Alligator mississippiensis: one gene and its partner. The protein of the gene in region 2 binds, or shares a complex with, the protein of the main gene of each other region. Links are inferred from orthologs where the notes say so. Each region holds a gene or a part of one and is shown on either strand. Other genes may lie near its edges.

Region 1 (7,555 bases), on a different chromosome or scaffold from region 2:
ATTGCTTCTATGCCTCTCCAACACCACGAAAGACTTTTAACTTTGCTATGTATTCATTCAGTGGGCAGATCTGCCCAGGCACTGAAACTGCAGCCTCAGTCCGCTGCTTTTGGAACTTTACATAGGGCTACTTGTTTGCTTTCACTTTGATCACCTGGAAGCTAGACAGCAATGTCTTTCCTCTGATAGTTGACTGCTGGTGTAAAAAAGGGACCAAAAGCATGTTTCCATCTCTGAAACATGATTTTCTGAAAATATTGGTATGAGCTGTGTGCTTGTTTCTTTATTTGAAAGTGGGTTTCTTTTCATCCCATGCATTGTCACCAGTAAGAAAGGATGCGTATGTTTACATAAGCACCATATTCGAACGTTGCCCTTAGTCAGTCTTGAAAGGCCTTAGTGAAGACAAAGCGGCACAGATGGCTCAGGCTTGTTTACAAGTTCTGTTGCTGGTATACAAACCAGAAAAGAAACTTGTTCATTCTCATGGACTGGCATTGCGTCTGCAGGACCGACAGCACTAAAAAGCAGTACATCTACTTTTGCAACCAGTCAACAGATAGGACTCCGAATGCACACACTTGTAAGCAACTTGGATGAGGAAGAAAGTGCTCTTTCTACATAGCCATTTTTCAGAGTAAATCTGTAAATTACAAGAAATGTAATACAGAAATATGAACCCATTAAACTCTAATCCTGTTCATCAGGTACTTGGAAAAGTCTGACAACAGTATAGATAAAATACAGAAACGGTACTTGAAGGAGCCTTAACTAGGTTAACTGATATTTTCCAAGCCAACTAAGACATCAGTGCAAGTTGTGTGTCTTTTGGTTGGGGCTGAAAAATTCAACCGGTGAGGTCTGTATTTAACAGCCCACCGTCACATCTGATTCTCTCAGACAGCACGTGAATATTTTAGAAACGGATCCTATCCTCTGGTCTCTGCAGGGCCTCACTGTCTGTGTTCCTATGAGCACCTTCTGGATTTCACTAGGCTATGCTGGATCTCTAGTGGCAGGAGTTCAACACCTAGGATTATCCTCAGGAACCGATGGATAATTGACTTAGCCTAGCTATTTCCAACACATCACCAGTATTCTCCTTTCCCATGCACCTATACTCAGAACAGAGACCAGCTCAACAACAAAGCACTTCCAGCTCAGTAATAAAGCATTTACACACCGGATCACCCACACACACACAACTTGACAATCCATGCGTCACTTCCTGTTGTTTAATAGGGCTTTCCAGCTTAGGTGGCTTCCCTATTTTTTATGGCTTTGGCATGTGGCTCAGGATTATTTATCCAGGGTTTGGTTTACATAGCATCTATAACTTGTTCTACTAGAACTGAACAAAAACAGTGAGCTCTTGGGTGTTTGCAACAGATAGAGTCCACTCAAATTCATGGGTGAGCTGAGCAGTTGCGCCCTCACATTCAGTACAGGACCACATTATAGTTCTTATATTGAAGGACAAAGTGCCAGAAACTGTTTTACAACCTGACAGACCTTGCTTTTAAAAAATACTTTTCAATAACCAAGTCAAGCTGTCCCAGTTTTATTAACCCTTATTACTTCTAATTTATACCCACTCAGACTGTTCTAATGCAATGGTGCTCAACCTTCCAGCCCCACGGGCCAAATGTGTGGCTCAGGGCCAGTCTGCATGCTGGATCTGGGCCTCACTGTGTGCGGGTGCAGCCTAGCACACCGGGCCACATCATCCTGCCTGTGGAGCTCTCCACAGGTCCAGAAAATTGGCAGCACGGGAGTGGCAAGTAAAGCTACCACCACTCTACCACTGCCATCTTTTTTTAATATGTGGGAAAACCCCCTGGCTGGATGACATGGCCTCCAGGGGTCCATCTGGCTGGTTGGCTAGAGGTTGAGCACCATCATGATTGTAATGAGTTCTTCACCTTCACTGGTGTTGTAACCTTTCATATGTTTGTATACAATTATACCACCATTAGACATCACTTAACCATAGTAAAACCCCTGGCATTCAGTTGCTTGAGTACTTCTTTGTAAAGCATTCCCTTGAGTTCTTTTATCTTCTTTATGCCGCCTTGGCAAGGCAAGGCTTATATTATGCCCCTCAGCCTATGCATCCTTTTATAGATGCCCCTCAGCCTAGCCTTCCAAGGCTTATATGATGCCCCTCTTTGCCATCCATCAAGACACGTACAACTCTACCACACCATTGGCAAGAGGAGCTGGTAAGACACTTAGACAGCCCTCGAGTTGCTTTGGGCCAAATGGTCATCTTATAAGTGACGTGATATTATGTGGTTGGGATACAAAGACTTTATTCCTTAAGGAGAAAGGAGGGCAAATGATACTCTTGGCACAGCCAGTCTGAATTAGGTATAGATAAATATTCCCAAAGTGCACCCCCTGCATCACCCAACCCTTTCCCTCACAGCCCCAAACAATGCTACCAGGAGTACCTTAAATTCCTGGAGTGACACTTCTGCCTTCTGAAACTTCTTCATGAACTCTGTGTTCTCTGCCTGTTCATGCACCTCCTTGGTGGCTTCCTTTATGGACTCTGACAGGTCTCTGGTTGTGCTGGGAAAATGGGCAGAAAAAGGTGTTAGCGTCTAAGGTACCTCACTATCCCCTGCACAATGAGAATTAGCTCTCTGGGAGCAAGTAAGGGGTGGAGGCCGGGAAGAGAAAGCAGTACCCCACCCCAGGAGGGCATGGGTGGCGGAGGTTCACCAGCATTCCAGCTTCTGTCCAAACAAGGCAGGGGACAGGGTGAAGACTGTCAAACCCTAGGTGGAGGGGAGTATCCTATTCCCAGTGGAGAAGAGGTAGAAATGGGACCCCAAATCCCTATCTCAAGGAACACGGGGAGATCAAGGCTGTTCCTTTCTTTGGATAATTTCCCTCTGTTTCTAGTCCCTTCGCTCACGTTTCAGGGCTGGCCGTCCTGGACGTTTCCATTTCTCTTTGCTTTTCTTTCTTCTCTTCTTTGCTCCTCTACAGCCTTCGTATGATCTTTCCCTCTTCTCCGTTCTCTCTCGTCTCAGGACTCTTGGAAGCTGCTGAGCTGAGCTGCCCGTCCCCTGCGTCCTGCTTTATACTTTGTCAGATCACGTGAGCAGCCCAGAAAACAGCTGGCCTCCATCCAAGTTTAAACTTATTGCGACATACATACTTTGCTACCAGGAGAGGGCTGAGAGACTTCTCCTAGGCAGCTTGCCCAGGCTTATTAACCCCTTTTCTGCTGTGACAATGAGAACCAGATAATCCAGAACAATAAATGGTCCAAGCTTCTTGTACATACGCTGACTTTCAAAAAAAAAGGGGGCTGGGGGGGGTCCATTTAAAGGAGGACTAAATGCAAATGAGGAACGTGGGCAAGGTCATTAGCTATCATGTTCCACAGCCAGCACAGCAAGTTGTAGTGTATTATGCGAGGACGGGGAATTGTCCCCTGCCCCATACAGAAGGCTGAATTATCCAAGTACATGTTAAGGACTTAAAAATTGATGTGCCAGGTCTGGGCCTGAGGTGGAGCTGGAGGTCTGCAAATAGTTCAAGTGACCTGGGTCTAGGGGCAAGAGTAACTACATGGCTCATTAATTGGCTGGCTTGTGTCTGCGACTGGTTTGTGTCTGCCAACTAACTTATCTGGGGAAATTAATAACTGGAAGTCAGAGGGCCCATGGGGGGTGCTTATCTCCAAATTTCAGAAGCTTGGCCTGTGACAATGAAAAATGGATCCACTGGCTTTGCTTTGGGGATTACGGTTAAAATGGGACTGCAGTTCTGCCAAGGAAACAGGGCAAGAGCCGCTTGACTTGGACTCCTAGCCTGCACGGTACCTGGCACTGATTACAGACTGCTCCAGTACTCTGGTGTGAAATTAGGCCCTCAAGAATTGTATGCCTTCATATGTTTTTGCATCAAGTGGAGTTAGTTGTCTGCTCAGGAAATATGATGCAGCATTTTTACAGCTGACTCAGCGGGGCCACTCTCCGACTACCCCTTTCTCTTAAAGCAACAGGAGCCTTCCAGAAAAGTCTTGTAAAGCCCTCGGCTTCCTTTCTCAGTCCTATATCTTTGCATTCTTCCTGCTGCTATTTTTCTGCATTGACCATGCAGGATAAAATAAATGTATCACACATATGCAGGTATAACATGCGTCTCTACTGAGATGCTGCATCCTTCACAAAGCCGGGAATATGCTTTTGATTTTGGATGTCCTGTGCAGTGATCAGAAGCTGCACGTGGAGAATCTGGAGAGACTCCGTGTCAGTGAAGGTGGCAGCCATGAAGTGACTATTCTCCTCTTGCATTATTCTCCTCTGGGACACAGAAATTCAGCTCTCTTCAGCAAGCCCCGGTAGAATGTGGGAAACTCTAATATATGCATTACTGTTGATAGAGTACATTTGCCTGGTATGAAAGAAACTCCTCCCTTTATTTTTTTATTTAAGTCTGTGATATTTGAAGGCATGCTGAAGAGCTGGCCTCTGCAACACTTCCTTATGGTCTGCCCTAGCACTATTTGCCCTGCCTCAGTTTCCAAAGGAAATTTTACTCACCTTTTTATCTTGACTCTTTCCTGGAGGATCTGACATGCAACAATACTGGTGCTACAGTTACAGGAAAAGTGCCAAGAGGCTGGACACTGCAAAACCAACTTAAGTGTTATGAACTTAAAGTGAACTTCAATGAAATGAAATGATGGTCCTGAGGGGAAAAGAGACTATGTCCTAGGCCTTTTCCCCAAGAGTTCTGATCCTCCAGGCTTTTACATTGAAGTACTTTACAAAAAACCAGTACTGTCTGTCTGCTTGGGGTCTGTCCCTCCCTGGGGCCTGCTATGAAGACCCTTTGGAGGAGAACCCTTTCACAGTCCCACTTCTGCGTTTCCCTTCTCCAGCCACGGTGTGCAAGCCCAGAGGATAGGCAAAGCAGAGAATACAGCGTTCTCTAAAAACTACCGCGTGACAAACAAGGGGTATTTGCCAGACCGGGGCACAGCTGAATGTAGGCTCTTGGTGTGAGAGGGAAAGGTTGACTCAGTAATTTTAGCCTGTAATGGAACAGAGAGAAAGCGGCTTGAATCCCTCATTAAAAGAGACACAGTAGAGGTGGCAACAGCTTCACAGAGTTTAAAAATCATTCCCCTAAGAACAGAAGCAAGTCTCATTGGGGAGAAGTGTTATAGCAACCCCAGCCCGCAATGGGCAATGGCATCATTGAGAGGATGTTAACAGTGCACAGACTCATTTTTCATTACCTACAGCAATATGGCCCAGCCTAGTTACCACAGATATGGTGCAGCTGTTGAGAGTCATTTAACAATTTCAGTTTAGAGATCAAAGGTGCGGTCTGAGTTGCAGAGCAGTGGTCAGAGTAGGAACTCTGAAAATATATGCTCCTAACATGTCAAGTATGCCTATATAGAGGTGGATCCCAAAAGCTTTGCACTTCTAGAGACATGGGAATAGAGTGCGGAGGGATTCCTCAGTTAGTCACTCTGCGTAATGGGTTTGCACAGCACAGACAAATTTCAAGGAAAAAGTGTTGACAAGGTGAGAGGCAAAACAATGGGAGTTTGCAGTAAAAAATACCCCATGCTGATGGCTATGCAGTCCAGACAGTGTATCCAGTGTGCCCGTAGGAATCCTAGTCAAGGAAGGGCTCCAAATGCAAGGAGAACTCCTAGCATTGGCAACCAGCCTGAACGTATGGTAACACTCATGCCAAGGGCTGCAATAAGAAATGCTCCAGAGGACACATGCTATGTATTAAATAAGTGGCCCTGGAAACCAGTGAGCTCCCCAGGGCACTTGGATGGTACACAAGGAGGTTACGTTAATTCTGCTGGTAGTGTGGTGGGAGTACACAGGCACCGACAAGCTCTGCGGGCACATACAGTCCCACTCGACTCAGGGCATACAGATCAGGAAAACACTAGCAAATCCTGCAGCACGCTCACTGTACCGACAAAGTCCCCCCATCTGTGGCTTCATCTGTTCACTGGTCCCTGTCGCTCCACAAACACACCAGGGGAAAAAAAACCACGGGCAGTGAGAGGACAGGAAGACAGGGCCAAAGGAAAATTACATATTAAATAGCAAAATAAGCCCTGCTTCTATAAACACTCCCACCTGTACTTAGCTTTTTGCTGATGTGTAGTCATTTTGAAGTCAAAAGTAGATGATTCCCATATGCAAGATGAAGAACATGCATAAGGGTTTTCACTACTGGGGGACCACATCCTTTGACAGCTTCACTAACAGGGACATTTTCTGGAAGACTGTGTCTTTCTCAGACTGAGGGAATCAGCAGGAGTTAGAAAGAAAGCTCTGCTTTACCACAGCTCCCAACATCACAAAAGGCTGTTGACCGTCCCATTCCAGTTCCTTCCAGTCAGCTTTGTTAGCTCTAAGGGGACAAATAACTTGCGTCTCCTTCCCTGCATAGTACATGCCTAGATTTAAGATAACAGAAACCAGCTTGCATGGAATAATTTCCAGAGCATTCTGAGGTCTGATTGTGTCCAGAATGGGACTGGAGCCAAGTCAAACAGCTGCAATCTCAGCCCAGGAAGCCATGAGATTGACACACAGGCTCACATGAGCGCCTGGCCTGCTGTGACTCAGCAAAAAAGCCCTGCCCGGATGGAAACAGTTACTCAGCATTCCAGGGCGTAAACCTAGGCTGCCGTGACTCAGCAAAACGAGGAGGCAAGCATGCACTTTTTGAGGCTGTTGAAAGGGTTTCTCAGGATAATCAAAAGGCTTGTCTCCTCCTCTGCTGTGTAAGCTTTAGGATTCGGCATGCCGTAGTTTGGGAGTCTGCAAAACAGCTGGAAATCCTGCTAGAAACCTGCAGTTCTGCAGTTCTAAAGCTGCCAGTGTCTCTAGTTCCAGATAAGCTAAATAAAGTGACTATTTATTGTACCCACCTAAATAGGGCATGCCCCGATGAGTGTGCACAAACAGGGGCACGCATTTCCCGCTGGACAAATAGCAGTGGAACATATTTGTGCTGCTGCTGGTTGTCCCAGCATGCCCCTGCATGCATGCTTTGGGGTGCAGCAAATAGACCCTGGTGGGCTAGGGAGGCCGCCTGGCCTGGGGGCCTCCTCGGGCTCTGTTTCTGGTGGTGTACACTGTTACCACATGTGCCGCACCACTTTTTTTAGTGGTGTTTTTTTTGACACCAGGATCTGTCAGTGTCAAAAAAACCTGTCGTGCTGCTAATCAGCAGCGTGGTGAATGGGTGTGCCTGTGCCATGTGCGGTTTGCGGCACTTCAGACGGGTTTGAAGTGCTGCAAAATGCACGTGCATGCTCCTTGAGACATGCTTATAAATCCTTGCCTCTCATGTTTCCTAGACCATTCTGGGGGCAACATCACACCAACCCTACTGTAAAATGTAAGGGTTTGTACAACTGGGTGGATTAAGTGCAAAAAGGTACCTTTGGCAGCCTCACAAACAAGGACATGCTCTGGCAGGTTGTGTCTTTTGAGGACTAAGGGAGCTAGCAGGATTTAAAAATCAAGCTCCTCTTTTCCAAAGC
Region 2 (7,779 bases):
CAAATATTCATCTGAGGGACTGAAGGAAAAATGAAACAGTTACTGTAAGCACCACCGGGGAACTATAATTCTTGCTATGACCTTTGGGGCAGCCCTGTAGGAACTGAACAAAAAACTGCCTCCAACAAAATGCTATGGGATTTGTTCCCTTCAAGTGTGGTCCTAGGAGGTTTCCAGGTAAGCTTCAGAGGCGGTAACAGACTGGTATGAAGGAGGTGGTTCTGGCAAATCAGTAGGGGGTGCTCTTCCCTTGAGACTTGTAGGATGTGCTAAGTAAAGACCCAGCCCAGCTCCTAGCAGAAATTACTGGGTAGGATCAACATGCACTGGTAAAAGCTGCTCCTCCAGTTTACCCCAGGCCATGGCTGCAGATGGAGCAATTTCCAGTACAGGTTTCCCTCTATCTATGCTGTACATGCGTTCCCAGAGAACGGCACATAAATCAAATTCGCATAAAGCAAACATACTTTGCAATGTAACAAATAGGAATATGTTCCTATGGCGGTGAGGGAGGGAGGCTGGGACTAGGGAAGGGGCAGGGGTGCTGCTCCCAGGGCTGCACAACACAGCAAAACAGAGGGAACAGAACGGCCCCAGGAACAGCCAGGAGCAGCAGCACTAGCTGTTAGGCTGCACCATGCTCCACCTGTCCCCACTCACCTCTGCTCCTGCACTATGCAGTACCCTGGTGCAGGCAGCTGGTGTTGGCTGTTCCCAAGGCCACTGCAGCCGGGGCTGGGGTGAGTGGGGACACGGCCCTTTCCCCTCCCCCCGCAGACTTACCTGCTTGGGCGGGGGGGAGGAGGGGGGGCACGCATGTTTACTGATTGCGTAAGAGCAAATTTACCTCACATATAATAAACTATGGGTTTAAATATGCTCATTGCATAAGAGCAAGTTTGCATATAAAGAACCCACATAAAATCGAGGGAAACCTGTGCATCTAGAGCACCTAGGAACTAGAAGCTCCACACAAAAGTAAAGATTCACATTCAGAAATGGGAAACATTTTAGTAACAAAACTGACCAAATCTCAGTTCCTTCTGGCGTTAGACCTGCAAATCAACTGTCAAACAAAGACTGATTAGAAACCAAAGCTGAACGTGCAGGAGAATTTCCACGATACAATCGTCCAGTTTTAGTCGGATTAGATGGGAGCTTCCTCTTCACTACATTTGTTCCTCTGAATTTCTTTAAAAGGCTTTTCCACTGCCTAATTTCAACCCCAATATTTTTTTTTAAAGAATGGCTACACCAAACAATATCTGCCCCAAACCTATTTTCAGTGCACATACCAGAGTGCTTCCGCCCATGCATAAGAAACCTAATAAACAGGGATCCTGATTTTCTACAATTTAAAAAAAAAACCCTAATTTTCAGTTAAGAAAAAAAACAAACAACCCCAAATCCATATTTTTCCACAAGAAAAATATGGATTTGGGGTTACTTTTATTTATTTTTAACCAAAAATTGGATATTTTTTTTAATCAGAGAAAACCAGGATCCCTGTTTACCAGGTTCCTTATGAATGGGAGGAAGCACCCTGGTATGTGCACTGAAAATAGGTTTGGGGCAAATGTTATTTGGTGTAAGCATTCAAGTCTACTCTACCAATTAAACCTGGATGCTGCAATCACAAAAGCACTGTACTGTTGGGTATTAAACATCAAAAGTTAGAGCAGGTTGGAGGAGTGGAAGTTTTCACCAGTTCCTTCAGCAAAATTATTCCACAAAGTCACAACTTCACTGTCAGGAGCTATCCCAGCTGTTCAACCCTTCCTACTCTTTAGTTTCACTCCAGCTATAAGAGATGTAGAAACCAGGATCTACACAAACAGGCCGACGGACTTGGTTTGTTTAGTCTAGAAAGGAGACTGGGAAGATTATAAGAGTTTCCCATGTGCCGAAGGCTGTTACAAGGAGAAGGGTGATCAGTTGTTCTCCTTTTCCACCAGCGGGATGAGGCCAAACCGTCTCAAGGGCACCAGAGACCAGCCTGGCTGGTCAAGAAACGACGAGACACAAAAGCTTCTGGGCGCGGAGCAGCGCAGGCCGCCGCGGGAGCCCCTTCCTTGGCAGCTTTTCAGAGCAGGTCGGACAATGCGGCGGGACGGCCCGGCGCAGGGTTCTCCGCGGGGCCGCAGCGCGGGGAAGTGGCCGCCGCCGCTTGGGCCCGGCCCGGCCCGCGCTGCTCCTCGCCGAAAGGAGCGGGCGAGGCCGAGCGCGACGGTTGCCGGCGGCCCCCTCCCCGGCGGAAACTGAACCCCGGCCCCGCCACACCGAGCCCAGGCGTCGCGGCGCCCCCGCGAGACACCCCACGCGGACCCGGTTCCCCCGCCCGCCCCACGCGGCGCCGCACGCACCTCCCCGCACCCGGCGGCGACTCCCAGGCCCGGCGCGGCCGGCACTTCCGGCGGCACAGACCACTCCCGGGACGGGGGGGGGGGCCGGTTCTGCCGCCTCCTGCGCAGTCGCGGCAGCTCCCTCCAGCCAATAGCGGAGCCGCCCGCGGAATGCTCACCCCCCTCCCTCCCACGGCCTTGGTACGGCCCGGTGCCGGCAGCAGCCTGGGCTGGTCGCGGAGCTGCGCCGGGAGGGCTGGGGGTCGCCCCCGCTTCCCCGCCCGCGGCTCGGGCTGCGACGTGGAACCCGGCGGGGCTGCCCGGCTGTCGCGGCCTCGCTCCCGCTCCCCAGTGCGGAGCTGCCCGCTCGGCCCTTCAGGCCGGTGACACTAGCTCGACCTGCCCCAACCGGGACGGCTCCGGGCCGGGCCACGTGTGGAGCAGACGCTCGTGAGAGCCGCGCTGACCTTCTCAGGGTGCCAGAGGTTCTTCCAGATGTGATCAGCTGTGGCTCTGTTCTTGTCCTTTGATTGCCTTTACCATCCAGGTAGTGTTATAGTGAGGTAGCGGAGCCGGTGCGCTCCGGGTTGCTCAGCCCCGAGGTGTCTGTAGTGTGGTCAAGTGAGAGCGGTGCCTGTTTCCACGGAATGAAAGTCTCCTCCTCCTGCACTGACTTGCCCTCCTGTTTCCTTTTATCTACAGAGCCAAGCCTGCCTAGTTCAAGCAGGGGTAGAAATCATCTGTGGAAGTGGGCGGGAAGAGAGGGAGGAGTTCTGCTCAGCTGCACTATCTGGATTCATCCTTGTAAGGGGTCATTTGGCAGAGCAGTCAGGAACATGATAACACTTCTGTTGTTCGAAAGTGTCCCTGAGATGTGCCACGCTCTCCTGGCCCAGGGTAGGATAGAAATAAGCATGTTCCTACAGCAGGATACGAGGTTCCTTTCCTTTCCGTGCTGGCAGCTACTTACACAATTAACTGTTTTCCTGCTGTCCCTCTCGTGTCTTTGCTGTGCAGCCATCCTTCAACCCTGCTTAGTTGAAATCAGTGGAGCATCAGGGTGCTCTTGGAGAGATTTAACAGTCCAGAAGGGCTGTTATCCTTCAGGAATCCAGGGGTCATGCTAAAGGCATCTGGATGGGATCAAAGTAGGATGCAGAGCTGTGCCTTTTTCTGCCTGAATTAAATTCAGGTTCAGTCTGCATTACAAATGCTTTGCCATGACAGCAATAGTAGTGGAGCTATACTGGTAAAGGCCCTCACCAGGAGACTGGAGCTCAGTCTGTTTAGTGTGGTGGCAAAGCTATGTCAACTAGGTGTTAAACAAATAACCACCCCCGCTGATACGACTGTAGGCAGGCCCCTTGTCTGGGGACAGCTAGGCTGACAGAAGGGGCCTTCTGCTAGCTCAGCTTCTGCCTTTTGAGGGTGTGATCTGGCTAATAAAAAACCCCTCTGTTGCCATATGTTGCATCTCCACAAGGGGGTCCTGCCGCTATTCCCAACTCCTGCACAGCTATGGCTGCAGCAGCAGCAGCCCGATAATGGAGAGAGGCTCTCAGCTTATACCAGCAACAGACAGTCTTGCTCATTAAGTTAACCCACTGCCTGAGATGACATAGACCAGCAAAAGGACGCTCATAATGGGGGTAAGGGGCTCCTGGTACATTTACATTGGCTAGGGGTGTCATGTTCATGCTTTTAACCACCATTATTTTGCTAGTAGGATTTCATAGTGTGGACCTGTACCAAGATGCACTGTGCTGTACCTGGACAAAGTGTTATGCAGAAGCTGTTCTTTTGCCTGCCTCCGTGCCAGTCTTCCTTTTGTCATGGTATCAGCAGAAATAAGAAACATTTTCTCGTAGACACATAGGATTACCTGAATATCCATTGAGACCCTGATTCTGCCGCTGCACCTTTTCCTGGGATGCCTTGCTCGGAGGATATTATGGAGCAAAGGTGCCCAATCTATCCCTTAAGATACCATGTCAACAATAACATGGAATGTCAACAGTTTTGAGTCACGAGTTACAAATATGTAGGTAGGTGTTATTATTGTATGTACAGTGAATTCATGTGGGCAATCAGTAGCAGCTGTATAATTAATCTGTGTGTGTGCATATAGTTACATGGGTTTACATCAGTGCCCTGGAATGTGCATTTGTTCCAGGAATGTACAGCACCTTGTGCGGGAGGGTCCTGGTCAACAATAATTCACATTTAAATAATATTATTTTTTCATAAGCAAAACTATAAGGTATATTTTTCAATTAGACTGATTTTGCTGCTTGGATTTTCTTTTTAATCTTCAGCTGTGAAAGGCAACCAGGTCATAAGCTGGCTCCTGACTACTAACACTTCACCATGCTGACGTTTAAAATAAGCTGTTACTAGACATCTCATCCCTTTTGATCCTTTCCCTTCTACTTTAGTCTCTTACTTCACTAATGAAAGAGAACTAAGATACTGCAGATTAGCTTTCATTTGTCATGATATAAAGCATACACACTGGATACATGAAGACCCACTCACTTTTTCCTAGCAAAAACTTGCATGCCTGCAGTCCTTCCCATCAGCCAATATTTCTTATCTTCTTGAGAAAATTGATCAAGATAGTTATTTTCTTATGTGGACATTATTCTAGAATAAAGAGTTTTCCCCTGAAAAATAATTAGTGCTGTTCTGTAATCATAGGAAATATGGCTGGAAAGGGTCATCTAGTCCAGCCCTCTGCTCAAGGCCTGCCTGATTAAGCCAAGTGTCTTTCTAACCTGCTCTTGAAAACTTCCAAGAATGTAGATTCCACAGCTTCTTTAGGCTCCTCGACCACCCTCAGTTAGGAAGTTCCTCCTAATCTCCAATCTAAATTTTCCCCGTTGCAGCTTGAGGGGTAACATCCCCTATAGCCACAGAGGCAAAGCCTATTTCCTTCCTTTCTATAATCACCCTGCAGGTATTTGAAGACTGTTGTCAAATCCGCCCCCCCCACCGGTCTTCTTTTCTCCAAACTAAAATAACCCTCGTTTTCAGCCTTTCCTCATGGGTCTCATATCACAGGCCCCTGATCATTTTTGTCACTCTGGACACTGGACTCTTTCCAATTGGTCCAAATCCTTCTTGAAGCGTGGGTCCTAAACCTGGACAAAAAACTCCATGTGAGGCCTCACCAGTGCTGAATAGAGGAGAAGAATCGCTTCCCTTGATTTGCAAGTCACTCCTGTTAATATAATCCAGGATGTTGTTTGCTCCTCTCCCCCACTGCCCAACAAGAGCACACTGCTGGCTTGTGTTCAGCCTATGGCCCACCATAACCTCCAAGTCCTACTCTGCAGTACTGCAGCCTAGCTACTCATTCCTCAGTCTGTATTTATGCCTGTGGGTATTCTATCGCAAGTGCAGGCCTTTGCACTTGTTCTTGCTGAATCTCATCTGATTGATTCCAGACCAACCTGATTCAATCCAGGTTATTTTAGATCTCCTAGCCCTAACTTCCAGAGCATCCTCAATTCCACCCAACATGGTGTCGTCCACAAATTTGACAAGCAAGCACTCGATCCTATCTTCCAAAACTATGATGAAAATGTTAAACAATACCAGACCCAAGACAGAGCTCTGATGAGTCCCACTTGATACTTCCTCCCAGCTAGACATCAGGCCATTGAGGACTACTCGCTGAGTATGATGATTCAACCAGGTTTTTTTAATCTACTTTACAATACCTTCAGCTAGTCTGTATTTCCTTAGGTTGTTAATATGAATGTTGTAGGACAGTGTCAAAAGCCTTGCTGGTGTCAATGTATATCATATCCACTGCTCTTCCCCCATTCACAGGGCCTGTCACCTTATCATAGAAGGAAATCAGGTTGGTCAGGCACGACTTGCTATTTGTGAATCCATGCTGTCTGTTTGAAATCACCTTGTTCTCCTCTAAGTGTTTCACAATGCATTCCTTGAGACCCAATCCATGCTGGCTGTCAGTGAACTCCCATGGTTGAGGCTGATCAGTCCCACAGATCAACTAAAGGGTTGTAAATGAGTCATTTATGACTAACAAGGCCCATCCTAGAGCCACATACTCTCTGTCAAATGCTACAGGTGGTTAAAGGAAGGGGTCAGAGCATTTCTTGTTCTTGTTTCCTTTCCTTTCATTTATGTCATTTTTCTGTCTCCAGGGTGAGACAGTTTTCCTCAAAGTAAGATGTACCTTCTCTCACAAGGCATTGCCATGTAGCCCTGTCCAAGCTAATTTTTCCCCAATTTGTGGTGTGTCTGCCACACTTAATGCTCACCTTGAGGGTGTCCTTGAAGCATTTCCTCTGGCCCCCATGTGTCCTTCGTTCTTAGCCGAGTTGGGAGTATAGCAGTTATTTTGGTAAATGTACATCAGGCATGCACACACAGTGCCCTATCCACTGCAGTTGATGTTGAGTAATCAGTGCTTCCCTAATGGTGGTGCTAACAGGGCCAGATTAACGCATAGGCAAACTAGGCACATGGCTAGGGCCCTGAGCTGTGGGGACCCCAGGTCCTTTCCTCCATGGTGGTGGTGTGAATGGCTTCATCCACCTCCCTTCCCTTCCCTTCCCTTCCCTTCCCTTCCCTTCCCTTCCCTTCCCTTCCATTGGCCTTGGTGCCGCTGCCACCACTGTCCCCTAATAGCAGCAGTGGCAGCACTGGGGTGGGGAGGGAGGTCTTGACCAGCCCAGGGCCCACAAGTTTGCTTGCCAAGGGCCCACTAAAGGGTTAATCCAGCCCTGGGTGCTAGTGTCAGTGAGGACACTGGCATTTATGTGATGATCCTCCCTCTCTATGCCAAGGATCTTCCAGAGGTAGCGCTGGTGATGGTATTCCAGACTGTTCAGGTGGTCCCTGTAGATCATCCAAACTTCACAACTATAGAGAAGAGTTAGGATTGCCACAACCTTATATGGTAGGAGCTTTGTTTGAGTCCTGATGTCATGTCCAGTCTTCTGAAGGCAGAGCTGTCACATCAGATCCTACGCTGGAGTTCCTCGTTGATGTTAGCCTTCTTTGAGAGAGAGCTGCCAAAGATCCTCCCTGGTATTGAGGTCAGGCTGATTGATCTGTAGTTCCCTGCATCCTCCTTCTTCCCTTTCTTTAAATTTGTCCTTTGCCAACCATTTGGAACCTCACTCGACTTCCATGAGTTGTCAAAAAAGATTGCCAGTAGCTCTAAAATTACCTCAGCCAATTCTTTCAGTACCCTCAAGTGCATCCCATCAGGTCTTGCCAACTTGAAAGCAGCTAGCTTCTCTAAGTAATCCTGAACCTGTTCTGCCATTACTCTAAACTGCTTGTCTCCTTCCCTATCTCTGCTGGGAATTGCACTTGTCAGATGGTAGCTGCCCCTTTTCATAAAAACTGAGCTAAAGACATTAAATACTTCAGCCTTCTCTCCATCATCTGTAACTAG

What was found. Proteins that work in one complex are often made in the same cells at the same time.
Region 1: the proteins of NADPH--cytochrome P450 reductase (region 2) and HMOX1 are in contact, whole or in part, in a crystal structure (PDB 3WKT), measured with the Rattus norvegicus proteins. The link is inferred for Alligator mississippiensis from reciprocal best matches to the Homo sapiens genes POR and HMOX1. Residues at the interface, in NP_113764.1 of Rattus norvegicus: Thr88, Thr177, Asp208, Asp209, Arg313, Arg514, Lys515, Gln517, Arg519, Leu520, Phe522, Lys523, His626, Lys665, Met667, Thr668, Lys669, Gly670, Tyr672; in NP_036712.1 of Rattus norvegicus: Asp12, Ser14, Glu15, Gln38, Ala75, Pro76, Glu81, Lys149, Ile150, Lys153, Ser171, Asp173, Asn174, Thr176, Lys177, Phe178, Lys179, Gln180, Leu181, Arg183, Ala184, Arg185, Asn187, Thr188.

Annotation. Positions count from the first base shown.
Region 1 is NC_081827.1:101,609,618-101,617,172, forward strand, and holds the start of HMOX1 (heme oxygenase 1), read right to left. Parts: upstream 3,076-7,555; 5' UTR 2,956-3,075; coding exon 2,924-2,955; intron 2,575-2,923; coding exon 2,454-2,574; intron 1-2,453.
Region 2 is NC_081837.1:17,426,416-17,434,194, forward strand, and holds the start of NADPH--cytochrome P450 reductase, read right to left. Parts: upstream 3,047-7,779; 5' UTR 2,810-3,046; intron 2,453-2,809; exon of another isoform or gene 2,364-2,452; intron 1-2,363. UniProt on the Homo sapiens protein: This enzyme is required for electron transfer from NADP to cytochrome P450 in microsomes. It can also provide electron transfer to heme oxygenase and cytochrome B5.